Linked DNA regions of Saccharomyces cerevisiae S288C. The gene in region 3 interacts genetically with the main gene of each other region. Each region holds a gene or a part of one and is shown on either strand. Other genes may lie near its edges.

Region 1 (4,863 bases), on a different chromosome or scaffold from region 3:
AACAGAACTGTCTCTGATGTCGCAGGACGAGTCTATAAATGATGACTATGGAAGCATATATTCTAGATTTGTGCAAATAAAAGATAGGTTGGACCAACTGAGGTTTAAGAAACTGTATCAGCTGATAGGGATCTTCCATTCAACGGATTTATTTAATTCAGATAGAGGCTATATTTACTTTGAAAAACCTTCTAGCGTAAATGATGTTATTAATAGGCTCAAGCTAAAACCTTTGAATATAGAGATATTACTTAGACAAGCCGGCGAATCCACAAAGCACAGAGAATATGTAAACAGCCAGTTGGGTTATTACCTTTTATTTCTCCATTTGACAGCCATCCAAATTTTCAAGGCTCCTTTACCCTATAGACTAATGTATTATGGTAGTACATCAGTGATCGACAGTCAATATCCGTTGTATTTCACTGATCAAATGATTTCTAAGCATCAAGCAAAGCTGATTAAAGCCATACATTATTTTAATGCTGATATATTGCAATTTAAACAGATTCTGGAGAATTACCGTCCAACATAGACTGAAAATCAAAAATCTCTTTTGGACTGCCATTTAATCTTTTCCATGTGTGTATATTGTTCTCATTTACATTAATTTCATAAATACGGATACGTCTTTCTGTACCTCCATAGCCAGCATAACCACCTTCTCCACCTCCACCGCCATAGCATAGCCAGATTTTGTTCGGCGTAGAGTCATCTCGAAGACAGTAATCGTTACAATGGTCATGTCCGCAACTGACGACATCCACACTTAACCTATCCAAAGTTGTTATCCCCTCAGAATTATACTTAGGTGCAGTAACACCTTCTTTGTACATTCCAATGAGGGGATTTTTCTCTCCGGGATGTGTCTTGGATTCAATATTCAAGTATTCTGGCAGTGGGATGTGAAAAAATGCCATTGAAAGACCTGTTTTGAACTTCAAGTTCACATCATGATAATCTTCAATGTATTTCCACTGTGATTCCTTAATCCAATCATATCCAGGATAAATTTTACCAACCGTAGAATATTTATGTGAGTCCAGAAAATAAAGTGTACCTACTGGGACTTCTGTATCATTGTTCGAAAAAATCTGATAAATATAATTACCAACGCCAAACGTATTATCGTGTGTATCATGGGGACTAAACTTGAAAAGGGAATATGGTAGTACTGAAGCTATTTCGGATAACTGCCAGCGCGTTAAGCTTCCCTCGTCGTCGTGATTTCCCCATACCATTGCCCACGGAATTTTTCTTGCAATGACGGGTGCTACCGCCTTTAATAATACGGTTTCAGAGTCTTGAATAGATCTATCACCCATGATTTGGTCACCAGTAAAAACAACCAACTGCGGTTTTTCAATGTCAAGAACTTGTTGAACGAAAGTTTCCGTTTTTGGATCTGCCTTGCAAGCTTCATGCTTTGGATACTCATCGATACATTCAGACTCCCCCACACCCAAGTGGAGATCCGCCAACTGAACAATTTTGAACTTTCCTTCATCAGTTTCTTGCAGCCGTTGAGCTCCTGTGTCTACAGGACGAGTACCAACGAATTTGTAAGTCAAATAAGCAGGTTCGCTGTAGCGGTATTTTACTAAGGGAAATTCTTTTTGAAGAGTCCAATTTGCTATCGGCTGGATGCAATCAACACCAAAGAGAATGTTAATATCGCTTATGTAGCTCCTTTTCTGCAATAGTTCTATGCTAATAGGCTCGAATGTGATGGATACATCCATAAAGGGTAGCGATTTGTCTTTAGGATATTTGGAAATTCCAGTTACTGCCTCAACATTTAGCTTTTCTAGGTTGGATCCAAAGTAGTCCACCAAAGCAGGGTATAACACATCATAGTAAAGGTATTCTGACTTTCCAAACCACCTGCGTCCAAAGGAACCTCTCAAGTCTTTATGAATTCTTTTCCTTTGTAAGTATTGGTGCCCATCAGTTAAAGTTGATTTAAGTTCATGCCGATTAAAACATCCTTCATAAAAACGACCAATATGAAAACATTCGTCATAGCCTATATTTACAACTAGCTTATCGTCATTTGAGAATCCCTCTAGACCTTTATTTTGGAACCATAGATTATCAACGTGTGATATCGGGAGTGCAAGGTCGAAACCAATGTGCTCTTCAACTCTTGGCGCCTGTAGGAAGTAAAATAGGGCAATCACTACAAAAACTACCAAGTATAATAGGTACCTTTGATACAGCCTCGGTAACCGGATCATGTTAAGATTTTTAACCACGGTGCTGGTCTTCGATACTTAAGTATAAAACTTGTATCAGAGGTATCTGCGATCTAAAAAGATTAATTTTTGAAAAAGATCAACACTAAACCATTTGAAATTCAAAAAGCACCTAAGGCAAAATATAAATCTAAATATACGTAAAATGGAAACACTTTCTGCGCAGCTTTATACAAGTTAGCCTTCTAGCTTATGAAATAGAAATGAAATATAACTGAGCAAGTCCTATATACAATACTATTAATGATCTTCTTGTCCATGAGACTGTTCATGGTGCCTTTTAGAGACTTCTTCATCACTTATCTGAGGCCTGTGGCCACCCGTTCTCAATAAACCACCGGCAGTATCTTCAACTGGAAATCTTGCACTGGGTCTTACGCAATGGGGCTTGCGTAACTGTTCAAAATCCATGATTTTAGTTTTCCCTCCCCCTTTTAAAGTAATCTTTGGATTCTCGCCCAACTTTTCCTCCACTTCTTTTATATTTTGGGTGCGTTCTTTACTATTATTATTATTATTATTATTACTAACTGCCATTATAGTTTCTTTATGCTGTCCTCACCATGCCTTTCGTTATCAGGCTAGCATTAAAAGCCTTTTAAGGTGTAAAGCTTTCGCCGCGATGGCTTTAAACAGTAGAAAATATTCATATTTACACACATGCATAAAGAGAGACCACTTAATAAAGCTAGTATGATAAGATCACCGGTAGACGAAATATACATGGAACAGACACAAACAGCAGAGGGCACTGACTTACTAATTGGTGACGAAAAGACCAACGATTTACCTTTTGTGCAGTTATTTCTGGAGGAAATAGGATGCACTCAATACCTGGATAGCTTTATTCAGTGCAACCTTGTCACAGAAGAAGAAATTAAGTATCTCGACAAGGATATCCTCATTGCTTTGGGTGTAAACAAAATAGGAGACAGACTCAAAATTTTAAGGAAGTCAAAATCGTTCCAGAGAGATAAACGGATTGAACAGGTGAATAGATTGAAAAACCTGATGGAAAAAGTAAGCTCTCTATCCACTGCTACGCTATCGATGAATTCAGAATTGATTCCTGAAAAGCACTGTGTTATATTTATCTTAAACGATGGTTCCGCTAAGAAAGTTAATGTAAATGGTTGCTTTAATGCAGATTCTATTAAGAAAAGGCTAATCAGAAGATTGCCACATGAATTATTAGCCACAAACTCCAATGGAGAAGTAACTAAAATGGTCCAAGATTATGATGTGTTTGTCTTAGATTATACCAAGAACGTACTGCATTTGCTATATGACGTGGAATTAGTCACTATTTGCCACGCAAATGATCGTGTTGAGAAAAATAGGCTAATTTTTGTTTCCAAAGACCAAACACCAAGTGATAAAGCTATATCCACATCCAAAAAACTATATCTAAGAACGTTGAGTGCATTGAGCCAGGTTGGGCCATCCTCGTCAAATTTGTTGGCACAGAACAAGGGGATTTCGCATAACAATGCTGAAGGGAAACTCCGGATCGACAACACAGAAAAGGACAGAATTAGACAGATTTTTAATCAGAGGCCTCCTAGCGAATTTATTTCTACCAATTTGGCCGGATATTTTCCTCATACAGACATGAAGCGGTTGCAAAAGACGATGAGAGAGTCATTTCGCCATTCAGCAAGGCTAAGCATTGCTCAAAGAAGACCTTTAAGTGCAGAATCAAATAATATCGGTGACATACTATTGAAACACTCAAACGCTGTTGATATGGCCCTATTACAAGGATTAGATCAGACAAGATTAAGCAGTAAACTTGACACAACTAAAATTCCGAAGCTTGCCCATAAAAGGCCAGAAGATAATGATGCCATATCTAACCAGTTAGAACTATTAAGTGTAGAGTCTGGTGAAGAAGAAGATCACGATTTCTTTGGGGAGGACAGTGACATTGTTTCATTACCGACGAAAATTGCCACGCCCAAGAATTGGTTAAAAGGTGCTTGCATTGGATCAGGCAGTTTTGGGAGTGTTTACTTGGGCATGAATGCTCACACTGGTGAACTAATGGCAGTAAAGCAAGTGGAGATAAAAAATAATAACATTGGTGTTCCCACAGACAACAATAAACAAGCCAATTCTGATGAGAATAATGAGCAGGAGGAACAACAAGAGAAAATAGAAGATGTTGGGGCGGTAAGTCATCCAAAAACCAATCAAAATATTCACAGAAAGATGGTTGATGCTTTACAGCATGAAATGAATTTATTGAAGGAGTTACATCATGAGAACATTGTTACTTATTATGGTGCTTCTCAAGAAGGCGGAAATTTAAATATTTTTCTTGAATACGTTCCTGGGGGTTCGGTTTCCTCCATGCTGAATAATTACGGTCCATTTGAGGAATCACTGATTACTAATTTCACTAGGCAAATACTGATTGGGGTTGCGTATTTGCATAAGAAGAACATTATTCACAGAGATATCAAGGGTGCAAATATTTTGATTGATATCAAAGGTTGCGTAAAAATTACTGATTTTGGTATTTCAAAAAAATTATCACCTTTGAATAAAAAACAAAATAAGAGAGCTTCTTTGCAAGGTTCCGTATTCTGGATGTCACCAGAGGTGG
Region 2 (5,161 bases), on a different chromosome or scaffold from region 3:
GATGAGGTTTTCATCGCTATTGATGCTCTAGGATCGCTAATTATAAAATTGTTGATTTTACAGGGTTTCAAAGATGATACAAGAAGAGATTACATAAATGCAATATTTTCTGTGATCGTTTTAGTGTTTGCTAAGGATCATAGCCAAGAGGGTACCACATTCAATGAACGACCATATTTCAGACTATTTTCTAACATCTTATACGAATGGGCTACCATCAGGACGCACAATTTTGTTAGAATATCTGATTCCAGCACTAGGCAGGAGCTGATCGAATTTGATTCTGTATTTTACAACACTTTCTCAGGATATTTGCACGCTCTGCAACCATTTGCCTTCCCTGGATTCTCATTTGCATGGGTGACACTATTATCACACAGAATGTTATTACCAATTATGCTAAGATTACCCAATAAAATAGGTTGGGAAAAGTTAATGCTTTTGATTATCGATTTGTTTAAATTTTTGGACCAATACACAAGTAAACATGCAGTCTCTGACGCTGTTTCGGTTGTTTATAAGGGAACACTGCGTGTTATTTTAGGCATTTCGAATGATATGCCATCCTTTTTGATTGAAAATCACTATGAATTAATGAACAATCTACCTCCAACATATTTCCAACTAAAGAATGTTATTTTATCTGCTATTCCTAAGAATATGACCGTTCCCAACCCATATGACGTGGATCTTAATATGGAGGATATTCCAGCATGTAAAGAACTACCTGAAGTCTTCTTTGATCCTGTAATTGATTTACACTCATTGAAAAAGCCAGTTGACAACTACCTACGTATTCCCTCAAATTCATTATTAAGAACAATACTAAGCGCTATTTACAAGGATACCTATGACATAAAAAAGGGCGTAGGCTACGACTTTTTATCTGTTGATAGTAAATTAATTCGCGCTATTGTATTACATGTGGGCATTGAAGCTGGAATAGAGTATAAGAGAACTTCTTCAAATGCGGTATTTAATACGAAGTCTTCTTATTATACTTTATTGTTCAATCTGATTCAAAATGGTAGCATCGAAATGAAATATCAAATTATTCTGTCTATTGTGGAACAATTGCGGTATCCAAACATCCACACCTATTGGTTCAGCTTTGTGTTAATGAATATGTTCAAAAGTGACGAATGGAATGATCAAAAACTTGAAGTCCAAGAAATTATTTTAAGAAACTTTTTAAAAAGAATTATTGTTAACAAACCACATACCTGGGGTGTTTCAGTTTTCTTTACTCAGTTGATAAACAATAACGATATTAATCTTTTAGACCTGCCCTTTGTACAAAGTGTTCCCGAAATTAAACTAATTTTACAACAATTAGTAAAATATTCCAAAAAATACACAACCAGTGAACAAGATGACCAATCCGCCACCATCAATAGAAGGCAAACCCCTCTACAATCCAACGCATAAAAAAACTGCATTTATTTATATACGAAAATCATGATTTCAGAAAAAAAAATATAACTTGTATAATACTATATTTCAGAGAATACTATTTTGAATAAGAATAGAAGCAATTTCGATTAACTTTTCTTACTGTATATGGGTCGCTTTCACTTTTGAACTACTGAAAATTAGTGTTACCCGTATTATTGTTTTGGAGAATAATAATAATAATGAGCATCAATTTATATCAAACAAGAGCTGCAATTACCTTATGTCCATGACGCACTGCGAACAAAGAATAATTGAGTAATCGAACTTGAAGTTCTATAGAACAGCTTGTATATGGTTTCATTGTTCAAAAGAGGTAAGGCTCCACCGCTCACGAAAGAAGGCCCCACTTCTAAAAAGCCTCCTAACACAGCGTTTAGACAACAAAGGCTTAAGGCATGGCAACCAATACTGTCTCCTCAAAGTGTGCTTCCGTTGTTAATATTCGTTGCATGTATATTTACTCCTATTGGTATTGGACTCATTGTAAGCGCTACTAAGGTACAAGATCTAACAATTGATTATAGTCATTGTGATACAAAAGCATCTACAACTGCTTTTGAAGATATACCAAAGAAGTACATTAAATATCACTTTAAAAGTAAAGTTGAAAATAAACCACAATGGAGGCTAACCGAAAATGAAAATGGCGAACAATCATGCGAACTGCAGTTCGAAATCCCAAACGATATCAAGAAATCCATTTTTATATATTATAAAATAACCAATTTTTATCAAAATCATCGCAGATATGTCCAATCGTTTGACACAAAGCAAATATTAGGGGAGCCTATCAAAAAAGATGATCTGGATACAAGCTGTAGTCCAATAAGAAGTAGGGAAGACAAAATAATATATCCCTGTGGGTTGATCGCTAATTCCATGTTTAATGATACATTTTCTCAGGTGTTGAGTGGTATAGATGACACAGAAGACTATAATTTAACTAACAAGCATATATCATGGAGTATTGATCGTCACAGATTTAAAACCACCAAGTATAATGCTAGCGATATTGTTCCACCGCCAAACTGGATGAAGAAGTATCCCGATGGGTATACAGATGAAAATCTTCCTGATATCCATACTTGGGAAGAGTTCCAGGTATGGATGAGGACTGCAGCCTTTCCCAAGTTTTACAAGTTGACGTTGAAAAATGAATCTGCTTCTTTACCGAAGGGTAAATATCAAATGAACATTGAGTTGAATTATCCGATTTCACTCTTTGGTGGCACAAAATCATTTGTACTGACTACAAATGGAGCTATTGGTGGTAGAAATATGTCACTAGGCGTACTGTACCTCATCGTTGCAGGGCTTTGCGCCTTATTTGGCATCATTTTTTTGGTTAAATTAATCTTCCAACCAAGAGCGATGGGTGATCACACTTATTTGAATTTTGATGATGAAGAAAACGAGGATTATGAGGATGTACACGCAGAGAATACAACATTGAGGGAAATTTTATAGAGGCCAAAAAACAAACTTTAGTGCCTGTAGGTATTTGTGTTTATAAGTAAACAAGTTTTGTTGACTTCCTGAAACGTAAACAAAAGAAAAATTGAAGTATGCCTTTTTACGCTTGGAAAATAGTGCGACAAAGAACTCCCAGGGTTTGCTATTCCCATTTAGATGATGAAATGATAGAAAAGTGGAAAACGTTTATCATGAAATCATCTATACATATACGTAAAAATGTAAACTATGTAAAAATATGTTCCCTATAAAAGTGATGCTCTTCCGGAACGTTTTCTTTTTCCCACAAATCTCGTTGAAACCTGAACCAATCTGGTAATTCAGAATCACAGGGTATCCTTATTTTGACGTTATCTTTTCCCCTTGCTTTATAATAGCCATAATCTCCATTTTCTTTTTTATTAAATGCTAATCTATACCTATGGCCAAAAATTCCTAGGTCAGAAGAGGTTTTCTTCAAATCGTCTCCTAGAACTCCACTTACTTGTAATACTTTATTATTTTTCACTTTGGTTTCGATTTGATTTATTAATGTCAAAAGCCGCTGAGGCACTTCTGGCTCTCTGCAAAGGTCATCTTCATTTACTCTAATAAGTTTGCCAGAATTGGCCTTATACTCTATCGAATGCGTCCTATTATTCTCAAGGGGCAATTTTTTTGCTTTGTTGTCCACAATTGTCTTATTATCCTTCTCCTGTTCTATCTCAATGTTAATTATTTCTAGAAATGTTTCCGCAAAATAATTTCTATTCTTACCAGAAAATAATCTGTACTCATTTATGATTGATGCAATATTCCATTTCTGAATTTTTCGAAGTATACCAATGACCAACGCGGTCTTATCTACCAATAAAACATTATAATTATCCACATTCAATAATGTTTTGAAAGTTCTTTTTAAACACGTGCTCTTAATCAGCATTAAGTCATCATTGTCAGTCAAGTGGTAAGCCAATTCCTCCTGAATTACAGGATCCCCTGTAGTAGAATTTTGTGACCCATTTGCAGTGGATTTTTTCTTTTCTTCCTGTAATGATAGAGTACTGTTATTATTCGAATATAAATTTGCGTTAGATACAGAAGAGCTTTTTACCGGAACTGCCGCAGCCGAGAAATCAGACATCCTTAAAACAATCCATTTTATGGATGATCTTGTGAAAAAATCTTTGAAAAACTTGGATGGTTCTTGACCTCCAATAAATATAGCTGTCTTTAAATTGAGAGTTTCCAGAAAGGATAAATTTAATGTCTCCACTTTAGAACATCTATATATTCCTTCTTCAGCAATCCCAAAGTTAGCAGGTGGAACCAGCATTATGAATTCAGGTTATGGATCGCACCAGTGCTGTAAGTGTCTCTCTTTTTATTCTACGATCTCCATATAACAACCACATCTCATTTCTTTACCTTACTGTCCATTTAATGCTAGAAAACTTCCGAATATTGTATTATTATTACCCGGATATGTCAAGGCGGTATATTAAGATGTTCCTTTCAAAAGTTTCATTATACCGCATACGGTAAGGACAGCCATAAGTAGTTTTACTGATAAAATATGGGGCTAAAGAACTGTATATTTATGGATAGCACTAAAAGTAAAGATTTTCCCCGTGTCCTGACTTGGAGAAACAAAATTTCATTGTCATAAAAAACTTTTAAAATATGATATTCAAAGCTTGAGCATTGGGCTTCTGGATGACAGTTCTAATCAAGTTGGGTCTAAGGATATTGCATGTATACAAAGGATTCTTTCGGAAAGTAATCCTGAAATATTTTTTTTTTTCGTCTGAACATACGAAAGTAAATAAAAAAAGTTCAATGCATGCCTTCCTATGCAAGATTTATAAAAGGTGAACAGGTCAGGAGCAGCCACATCTCAATAAAGGCAGTTAAAGACGGTGATGTAGGTGCAGAAAGAGAAAGTGAACAAAGGATGATTTGAGATGTGTAATGATTCGTTTGAGCAGCAACAACTGCTAAGATATTCATACTAATAGGCCACTTCACACATTATGCCTTGGAGAATATCCTGCATTGCTCCTTTTATAGTATAGTCTATTCAGCACTAACAAGCAAAGCGAACATAATGGTAAAACTAACTTCAACTGTTGCTGGTGTCGCCTGCATCGCTGGCCCTCCCCTCCACTACGGCCATTTTAGCACAACTTGAATGAGTCAACTTGGTTGAGTTGCATGTTAACGTCTCTGATATCAGAGCTCACTTGCTCAATAA
Region 3 (4,671 bases):
CGTGTAGAAAATGGCCAGACTCTAACGACGTTCATTACCAAGGGCACTCAAACGGCTTCTGCTAGTCCCGTTGCCACAACATCAGCTCCTATTGTGGTTGCTAATGCTCAAGTGGACAGCATAGCTACTTCCGTTATCCAAGAAAGCGCTGTCGTGGCTGAATCTGCAACATTTGAAGAATCCTCTACAGAAACATCTGAAGCATTTTCTACAGCAACTGCAACCATACAAGCGGTGCAAACCTCCGCAAGTGCCACACAGGATGATGTAACCACAACTTTAACATCTTCAACACAACCTACCAGCACAACTACTCCAACAACCACTACCACTAGCCCAACCACTACCACTAGCCCAACTACTACCGCTAGTCCAACTACTACTGCTAGCCCAACCACCGCTACCACCACTCAATCTACCGCCTCAAGCACTCAATCCTCAAGCTCCGATTTCTCAACGTCAATGGTTAACGAACACAACACTAAAAGGGCGTTGCACAAGGATACCGGTTCTTTGACATGGTCTGACACACTAGCAACATATGCACAAAACTACGCTGACTCCTACGATTGTTCAGGCAACCTAGTCCACTCCGGCGGTCCATACGGTGAAAACTTGGCACTTGGTTACGGTACGACCGGCTCTGTTGATGCCTGGTATAACGAAATTACCAGCTACGACTATTCCAACCCTGGTTTTAGTGAAAGCGCAGGTCACTTCACCCAAGTCGTATGGAAGGGAACTTCTGAAGTTGGTTGCGGTTTGAAATCTTGCGGTGGCGAATGGGGCGATTACATCATTTGTTCCTACAAAGCCGCTGGTAATGTCATTGGTGAGTTTGCTGACAACGTTATGCCATTAGCTTAATCACTGAATTTAGCGAATACATGGGTATGGACATGAACAGCAATGGGCACTGTTCCTTCTCTTACATTTCTCTTTTATAGTTTCAATTTTTATTATACACTAAGGATTCTTCTTTTCTAGGGTACGCAAATTAAATGCAAGCAAGATCATATAACATTGTCATAGTCTCATGCATGGTAAATAGGGTGAACGAAAAAAATTGGGAGATCTTGCCGACGGCTACGTATATATATATATATATATAAATATATATATATATATTCATGTATACTGTATATGTACAATCATATATAAAGTTACTCTTCCCTTTTCTTTTTTTTTTTACATTATTACGTATATACTGCTTTATTATCGGAAAGTAGCAGTTTAATTAAAGCAACTTCTGTTGTTTTTCCTCTAAAACACAAATCATAGGATATCAACTGCAACAAGATGTTGGATCATTTGTGGATGGCCTTTGCAAATTAATGTCTACTTGTCCGTTATTGCCTCCACCGATTTGTCTATTTTGCTTAGAGAGAATTTCGTCTTTCTTTAAATCGTATAATTTTTCACCAATATCTTGAAAAATTTCCTTAACCCCTTCACCTGTCTTAGCACTAACTTCTCGGAACAGCAACCCTTGTTCTTGTGCGTACTGTTTCGCTTCTTCAGTGCTAATTGCTCTTACTTTTTGTTCTTCATCTCCACCTTCGTTTGAATCTGGGCTTGTCTCAGTGCTAGGCGTTTCTTGACATAAATCCACTTTGTTTCCCAGTAAATAAATAACCAAGTCGTCGTCGCCTACCTTATTTTTCAGCTCATCAACCCAGTTCCTTGCCTTTTGTAGTGAATCTTCCTGCGTAATGTCATAAACAACTAATGCTGCATTAGCGTTTCTATAATACATTGGTGCCAATGACTTGTATCTTTCTTGACCAGCAGTATCCCAGATTTCAAATTTTATAACGACATCCTTTGTTTCATTACCATCGTTTGGGTGAATAGTGATTGATTGAGATAAAAAAGCAGCACCAATCGTACTTTCACGTAGTTCATCGAATGTATCCTTAACAAAACGATGAACAATGGAAGATTTACCCACGGATGAGTCACCCAATAAAACTAGTTTAAATTGCAACATCTGTTAATAATATATACGTTTACTCCAAATAAGTTAAACCTTCTTCCTACCCTCGCACTATAAAAAAAAATTTAGATATGTCCAGAGCTCGATATCGAAGCGACTTAACAAATAATTAATACTGACAGTTGGTAAACGGGCCTGTTCCCTTCACTCCCGTATGTTAACATTGTAACTTCATATCGCAGGGGCAGAGCTTTATAAACCTGAATTGTCCGGCCAGAATAGTAGTCGCTGTCCACGAAAGCAAGACACTATGAAGTTGCCGTTTGGTCTCAATGATACACATAGTGTTAAGAACATTGAGTAATTTGGAGTCAGATTGATTTCATTCCTTTACAATCGTGATGTGCCTATTTAATTCAAGGTCATGTGGATTTCAAAATTTAACATAATGATTTTACCTACCTTTCACACATTTGAACATGGGAACGCTTAAATATTAATTACTGTGCTTCACTACAATTACAAGAGAGTACGTATTGACGTTATTACCAGTTTACTTTCCATCATACTTATCGCAGAAAACAAAATATCTAAAAAAAGTATAGTAAACGGTTGATGTCATCAAGAAGCATACCTTACTCCTTATATAGAAAGCTAAGAGACACCTAGAAACATTGATTTGCCAAAAATCCACATTCCTCGAAATGGGGCCTAAAATGTGCGCTAATGCGCTAATAAAGGTGATATAAAGTTCAAATCTTGAGTATACATATGACATACAACCATAAGGCCTGATTATTGTCTATTTACTGCAATTTTCATCTTCAGTTCCAATCCACGGTATAATGAAATGTAATGCATCCTATCTTATTTTTGAATGTATTATGTTAATCGTCACGTTTTGGTAATGATTTCTAGATGCGACTATAGCATTTTTGGCAAATCAAGCGTTTATTTTGACTTTTCTAAATTTGGCTTTAAAATCCCTAAATTTCACAGTTACGACATCCTTAAAGTGGATATCTGTTAAAATAGTTGACCCAAGTACTTCACTCTCCCCAGGCATTTTGTTGATGTTGTTACTGCTCGCATTGTATTTCATTATACATTTTCTCTTGTCCTTTGTTCGCTGATTCCTTTCTCCATGAGGTGATATGTTGAGTTTAATCTTAAGGTATTCTCTCACTAGACCGTGCGCTTCCTCTTTATGGCAATTTTTGCATGATTTACTATTTTTATTATTACTATTATCATTTTTACTGGCGGAAGATGCTATTTTGGTCCTAGGTCTAACTACCTGATTTTTTGTATGTCTCTCCGAGTGCTTACCAGGTTCTTCGACCTGATTTTCGTCCATAACCATCTGATCTTTACAATATTTTTTCTCAAATGTCTGAGCCTTCTCCAATCCTAGCATTTGTTGCTCCTTTCTCCAAACTCTAGCACATCTTTCACTCATGTAAATTGGATCAATATCTTTCATAGTGGTATTCCAAGATATGTTGTTTTGGTCATTATCTTGGGGTTCAGGTTGAAAGTACGCGTTTTCCATCGGTGTTCCTGCATTATCTTCACTTTCGCTTCTAGACTTTTGAGCTATTCCGTCGTTCGCAATTTTAGGTCTGTCGTTATTTTTCTCTTCATTGTCATCCTTTACTTTATCCACTTCTGTTACATAGCCTATTACCACAGCAGCGCAGTTATTAAAAGTATTGACAACCCTATTAGCGAGAGGTGTTTTTATGATATTTTTCAATCCTGATGACGCTTCAACTTCAATACTATCCATTTTTTTTCTCTCTATCATAATGTTCTCCTGTTCCTCACCTTGCATCCTCACCTTGGCTTCTTCTTCTCTCCGTTTTTTCCTTTCCTCGTGTTCCTTGTAAGGTCTCATGTCAACATAGAATTTTTCTGGTTCTAAAGTCCAAATAAGATTAGGAAGGTCTTTATCTTTAAGCTCTTTGATACTCAAGTTTTTTTTGTTCAAGTTCTGCGGATCACACGCTGCTGTAGCGTTGAATCTGTAAACTCTGACGTTGGAAATTTTGGTAAGTTGGGAAAAATTTGAGATAGTAGTGATTTTATTGCTTTTCATTAATGGTTGTGGAATGTAAATATCACCGAGGTATTTCTTCTTTTTATATCGTCTTTCGACAAAACCTTCTGAATAAACAACCTTGTGAAGGATGCTCCAATCATCTTCCTTTACCGGGGCCATATCAAGAATCACCTTTTTTACCTTTTCAACTATATAATATTGATGATAATAGGTCCATTGTTTATGAATAAATATAAAGGCCCTGTTCAATGGATGCAACGGATCCAGTTCATCTAGGCAATCCTCTACCGGACAATCGAATTCCACAACTAAAACAGCAGGGCTACGCCTGACTAAGGGCCCAATTTCCATAATCTGTCTTAAAGAAATAACCATAGTATAAAATCTGTGAATCATATTTTTAGATTCTCTGAAATCTTCCACATTCAAGTTCTCGAATATCATAAATTCCCTCCCCAGATCCTTAAGCATTTGAAGCCGATCTTTCAAACTTCGACAGCCTTCAAATTGTTGCAATAGAAGAACATACTTTCCAAAGGAAGAGTTGATTTCAGTAAGAGCCTCATATCCAGAATAGTCCAGAAACATAGCTAAAAAAAAATCTCGTCAATTTTTTTTTTAACTATTCGAGACCTTACCGAGTAATCACTTTAAAACAAAAAATAAATAAATT
Region 4 (4,013 bases), on a different chromosome or scaffold from region 3:
TTAATATTCCCCGTTTGAATGGCCAGTTTAATAAAACCCTTTCTTTTGTTTAAAATCAGTTGTGTACCATTTGTTGAACTTAATAAAGATTCCCTAGCGCCACCAACAACAATGCAGATCGACTGATTTTTGCTTAGAGTCCTTAAAGCGTTTTTCCGAGATACTGAAGAAATACCTAACGCCAATAAGTAGTCTCTATACAATGGGATATGAAATTGTGTGACCAGTGTCATCAGAGAAATAGGAATACCTGGGAAAATCTTGGAATAGTTACAACCTTCTGTTGCAAACGCTCCAAACGCACCAAGTGCTCCTATGCCGTGTGGATGGTAACCAAATAAGTACGTTGGCCCTGTACATTCCTGGTTGCGATAGTCAATAGTAGAGTTGCTTTTGAGATTAATGGAATACTTAGTTGGCCACAATCTAATCTTGTAATTTTTTTCGTTAACTCTCTTATTTTTTGAAAGCGTAAAAGTTGGTTTTAAATTGACAGTTTTAATCAAACTTATAGGGAAATAATCACAATACCACTTCCAAATGGGCAATGAACGAAATCGAAGAGAGTATCGATTTACCACTTCGCCAGTTGCAGGAGACCTATCGAAAAAAAAATAAATCATATATGGAATAGCAAGAACCCACAGTGCTGGTGTCGAGATTGCAAATAACGTAAATATGGAGAAGAGTACAAATGAAGAAGTGTGCCATGCTACAGCCAGAGTTTGTAACCTTCTTTCAAAAGGGGTCGCCAATGGACAGCATGACTCTAGTTGTGGTTTGAGAGTCTGTTCTCTTTTATCGATGCTTGACAAAGACTTATTCTCATGCCTTTCGGTAATACCGGCTGTAGGGCTTCCTTCTTCCTTCTTCCTTCTTCTTATATCATTGAATGTTCCTGACATTTATGTGACTGTTCAAACTGTATGCCTCTGCGTTTCCTTATGTATATGTAAGTGTATGTGTAAATGGAAATGAGATGATAGTAAACCTCCTTAATGGAACAAACGTGATCTGGGATAAACAGGAAAAAAAAAAAACTTTGGCGGAAGTGTAGTGAAAGATCCAAGCCTGATAGACCACTGTCGTGCTTGGTTAAGTACAGAAATGCGGTGGAAGTACTGGTCTGCTTTGAGGAATAAGTTTCCAAATTCAGTCTTCTCTTTTTCTAGCCTTCCCATTACGTCAATGCTGACTGAATCTATCAATTGAATAAAAAACGCACATCATAAGCCTTTGTCGGCCCGTAACTTAGTTGCCTGCAGAGAACAAAGTACAGAAAAACTTCTTGCTCTGATTACCAGTTACAATAACGACTAACTAATATTTAAATAAAATGTACATCTATCTACTCTTTCAATCTTTCCGTCTTGTTATATATCGAAACCACGGTCTCTTAGTTGATGAACGGTCCAGATCCAAGTCGATGCCGCTTCGTCGACATTGTTAGAAACGTAGCTCGATTTAGATTCTTTACCCCCCGTGGTGAAGTACTTCCCGTTATCTTTTTCGACAGATAAATTCGGGTCCAATGCACACTTCAAAGAAGCTAGTGAACCTTGTTCGTTCGATACGCCGAAAAAGAACCCTACGACCTGGAACAACAGCCAAAAGAAAATACCGACGATGGGTAACCTTGTCCAATAACTGAATAAGTTTGTGTTCATCACCAGACCCGGATGAACGGAGAGACAAAGAACGTCAGGGTATTTGATGGCCAACATCTTCGTGCATTGGATTAGCGCGGTTTTACTCATCGCGTACCTAAACCATGTGAAAAGCATATTAGGTTTGTAATCCCACGTCTTGCTCAGTTTCCAGTACATGAACTCTAGATGATGGCCTATCGAGGACAGGGAAATGATCCTGCCACGACAATGGCGCAGTAAAGGCAATAATCTCATCGTGAAGATGAAGTGCGAAATGTAGTTAGTCTGCAATTGCACTTCAAATCCGTCCTTCGTCATTTCTAAGGGCACCGCCATAATCCCTGCATTGTTAACAAGCACGTCTATGTGGTCTTCCAGCTTGAGAATTTTAAGTGCCGCTCTCTCCACACATTTTAAGTCTGTCAAATCCAAATGGATATAGTGCAGTGACCCTAGACGCTGAATGCTTGGACCTGGGCCCGCGCCTGGGCTTGAACCGTCGTCATCTTCATGGCACCTCTTCTTTGCTTCTGCCAGTATCTCCTGGATTGCTTTCGAAATCTTGTGAGAGTTTCTCCCACAAATATAAACGACAAACCCATGCAAATACAAATGCAAGACAGTATACCACCCAATACCCGTATTTCCGCCTGTTACTACAGCAATCTTCCTCTCCACAGCCGGGTCGTAGTATGGCAATATTCGTGGGTCTAACATTCTGCCTTTGGCGTATGTCTCGTACTGCGGATGCCTCTAATACCAATCAGGCCTACAACCATTGTCTTCCCCGTTTCTACAAAGACAATAGTGTGTGTGCATTGTAAGTGATGCATCATGCACCATAATGATTTGTTTATATATACCCATGTACACTTGGGTCTCATTTCCTCAATTTTTTCATATCTTACCCGCATATCTTTTCTTTCAATGCCCTACTTCTATACTTCAGGGTTTTCCAAAAAAAAACAGTGATTAAGCAGGGCGGCATTTTCTTTATCTTGGGGCTTAGAAGACGCGAAAGACCTGTGGCTCAATACCTTTTTCGGAATATGTCAACAACACGAAACGCCAAAATTCTTGGCCCTGATTCAGGTACCGCGGGGGCCACGAATTTTGGCGTTCTGTGCAGGAATGACGTCTCTGCCGATTATGAAACTAAACAAGGTATGCTATCGGAGGTGGTCTGAGTTACTCGACAGATTTTTCTGACGAGAGTGAGTGTCGTTCGAGATATTTAAGCTCCAAAATATTTCCCTCACCTAGCTTACATTTTGGTTTATTCTTTCTTACCTCTACCTTTCTAAGTTTTTCTCTTCTGCTTCCTTTTCTTTTCACTTGGCATATTTTATCTATAAAAAAGTTTTGCAAGCGTTTAAGCAACTAGTTTAGCACAACATCCAACCAAGAGGTTTCTCGCGTATTTCTCTCATTTTTTTACCCATTTTACAAATTTTTTTTGCTATTTGAGCCATAGTACCCATTAATAGGTCTCGTCCATTCCCTTGTTTTTTTTTTATTGTTTCAATTACACTACATAATTAAAAATCACATCACTTTCACTCTCACCTTAGTCGTTCTTTATCAACCAAAAATAAAAAAATGCTTCAATCCGTTGTCTTTTTCGCTCTTTTAACCTTCGCAAGTTCTGTGTCAGCGATTTATTCAAACAATACTGTTTCTACAACTACCACTTTAGCGCCCAGCTACTCCTTGGTGCCCCAAGAGACTACCATATCGTACGCCGACGACACCACTACCTTTTTTGTCACCTCAACGGTCTACTCCACGAGCTGGTTCACCTCAACTTCAGCCACCATTACCAATGCGGCCTCCTCCTCCTTGTCCACCTCTTCGGCCTCTGGATCTGTAACCCCAGAATCCACCCATGAAATTACCTCCACCTCGACTATCACGTCCACTTTGCTGCTAACCCTTCATGACTCCACTACTTTGTCTCCATCATCTACTGCAGCAAGTGTCAGTGACGAAGATTCAAACAACAAAGATGCAAAGGTCAAGTCCTTTGAACAGGCTTCAACTTCCAATGGTTGCGTCCCAATCACAAAGTTTGTCACTGTCACCAATGAGCCCGTTACCCAGTACGTTACAGTCACCCCAAATACGACTACACAATACGTTACTGTCACCGGTGCACCTTCTGTTACCACTACCTCTCCAGGTAACGTACAATGGTACAACACCACTTCGATTACTAATTCGACCAGTTGGTGAATTATGAGTTCAAACGTGTCCTTTTAAGTTCTTTTTGTTTCTTTTTTGTATCTGTATTGACAATTTCACCTTCTGTAACTCTATCCTTCTGCTACCTAAATACATCAGTTTAAGTTCCAACTGGTATTTATT

The links.
Region 1: mutations in YPT52 (region 3) and DCR2 together harm fitness more than expected from each alone (negative genetic interaction), as found in Saccharomyces cerevisiae (2 studies listed by BioGRID).
Region 2: mutations in YPT52 (region 3) and CDC50 together harm fitness more than expected from each alone (negative genetic interaction), as found in Saccharomyces cerevisiae (2 studies listed by BioGRID).
Region 4: mutations in YPT52 (region 3) and ENV9 together harm fitness more than expected from each alone (negative genetic interaction), as found in Saccharomyces cerevisiae (2 studies listed by BioGRID).

The regions. Positions count from the first base shown.
Region 1 is NC_001144.5:846,888-851,750, forward strand, and holds DCR2 (phosphoprotein phosphatase), read right to left. Parts: upstream 2,238-4,863; coding exon 501-2,237; downstream 1-500. Other genes in the region: VPS38 (Vps38p), read left to right, coding at 1-535; YLR361C-A (uncharacterized protein), read right to left, coding at 2,496-2,792; mitogen-activated protein kinase kinase kinase STE11, read left to right, coding at 2,979-4,863. UniProt on the Saccharomyces cerevisiae protein: Required for cell cycle progression. Has a role in the completion of START.
Region 2 is NC_001135.5:285,016-290,176, forward strand, and holds CDC50 (aminophospholipid translocase regulatory protein CDC50), read left to right. Parts: upstream 1-1,746; coding exon 1,747-2,922; downstream 2,923-5,161. Other genes in the region: CCR4-NOT core subunit CDC39, read left to right, coding at 1-1,428; OCA4 (Oca4p), read right to left, coding at 3,155-4,243; YCR095W-A (uncharacterized protein), read left to right, coding at 4,624-4,782.
Region 3 is NC_001143.9:464,082-468,752, forward strand, and holds YPT52 (Rab family GTPase YPT52), read right to left. Parts: upstream 1,991-4,671; coding exon 1,286-1,990; downstream 1-1,285. Other genes in the region: PRY2 (sterol-binding protein), read left to right, coding at 1-867; YKR015C (uncharacterized protein), read right to left, coding at 2,880-4,586. UniProt on the Saccharomyces cerevisiae protein: Required for transport in the endocytic pathway and for correct sorting of the vacuolar hydrolases suggesting a possible intersection of the endocytic with the vacuolar sorting pathway.
Region 4 is NC_001147.6:794,428-798,440, forward strand, and holds ENV9 (Env9p), read right to left. Parts: upstream 2,367-4,013; coding exon 1,374-2,366; downstream 1-1,373. Other genes in the region: DGA1 (diacylglycerol O-acyltransferase), read right to left, coding at 1-905; SRL1 (Srl1p), read left to right, coding at 3,249-3,881.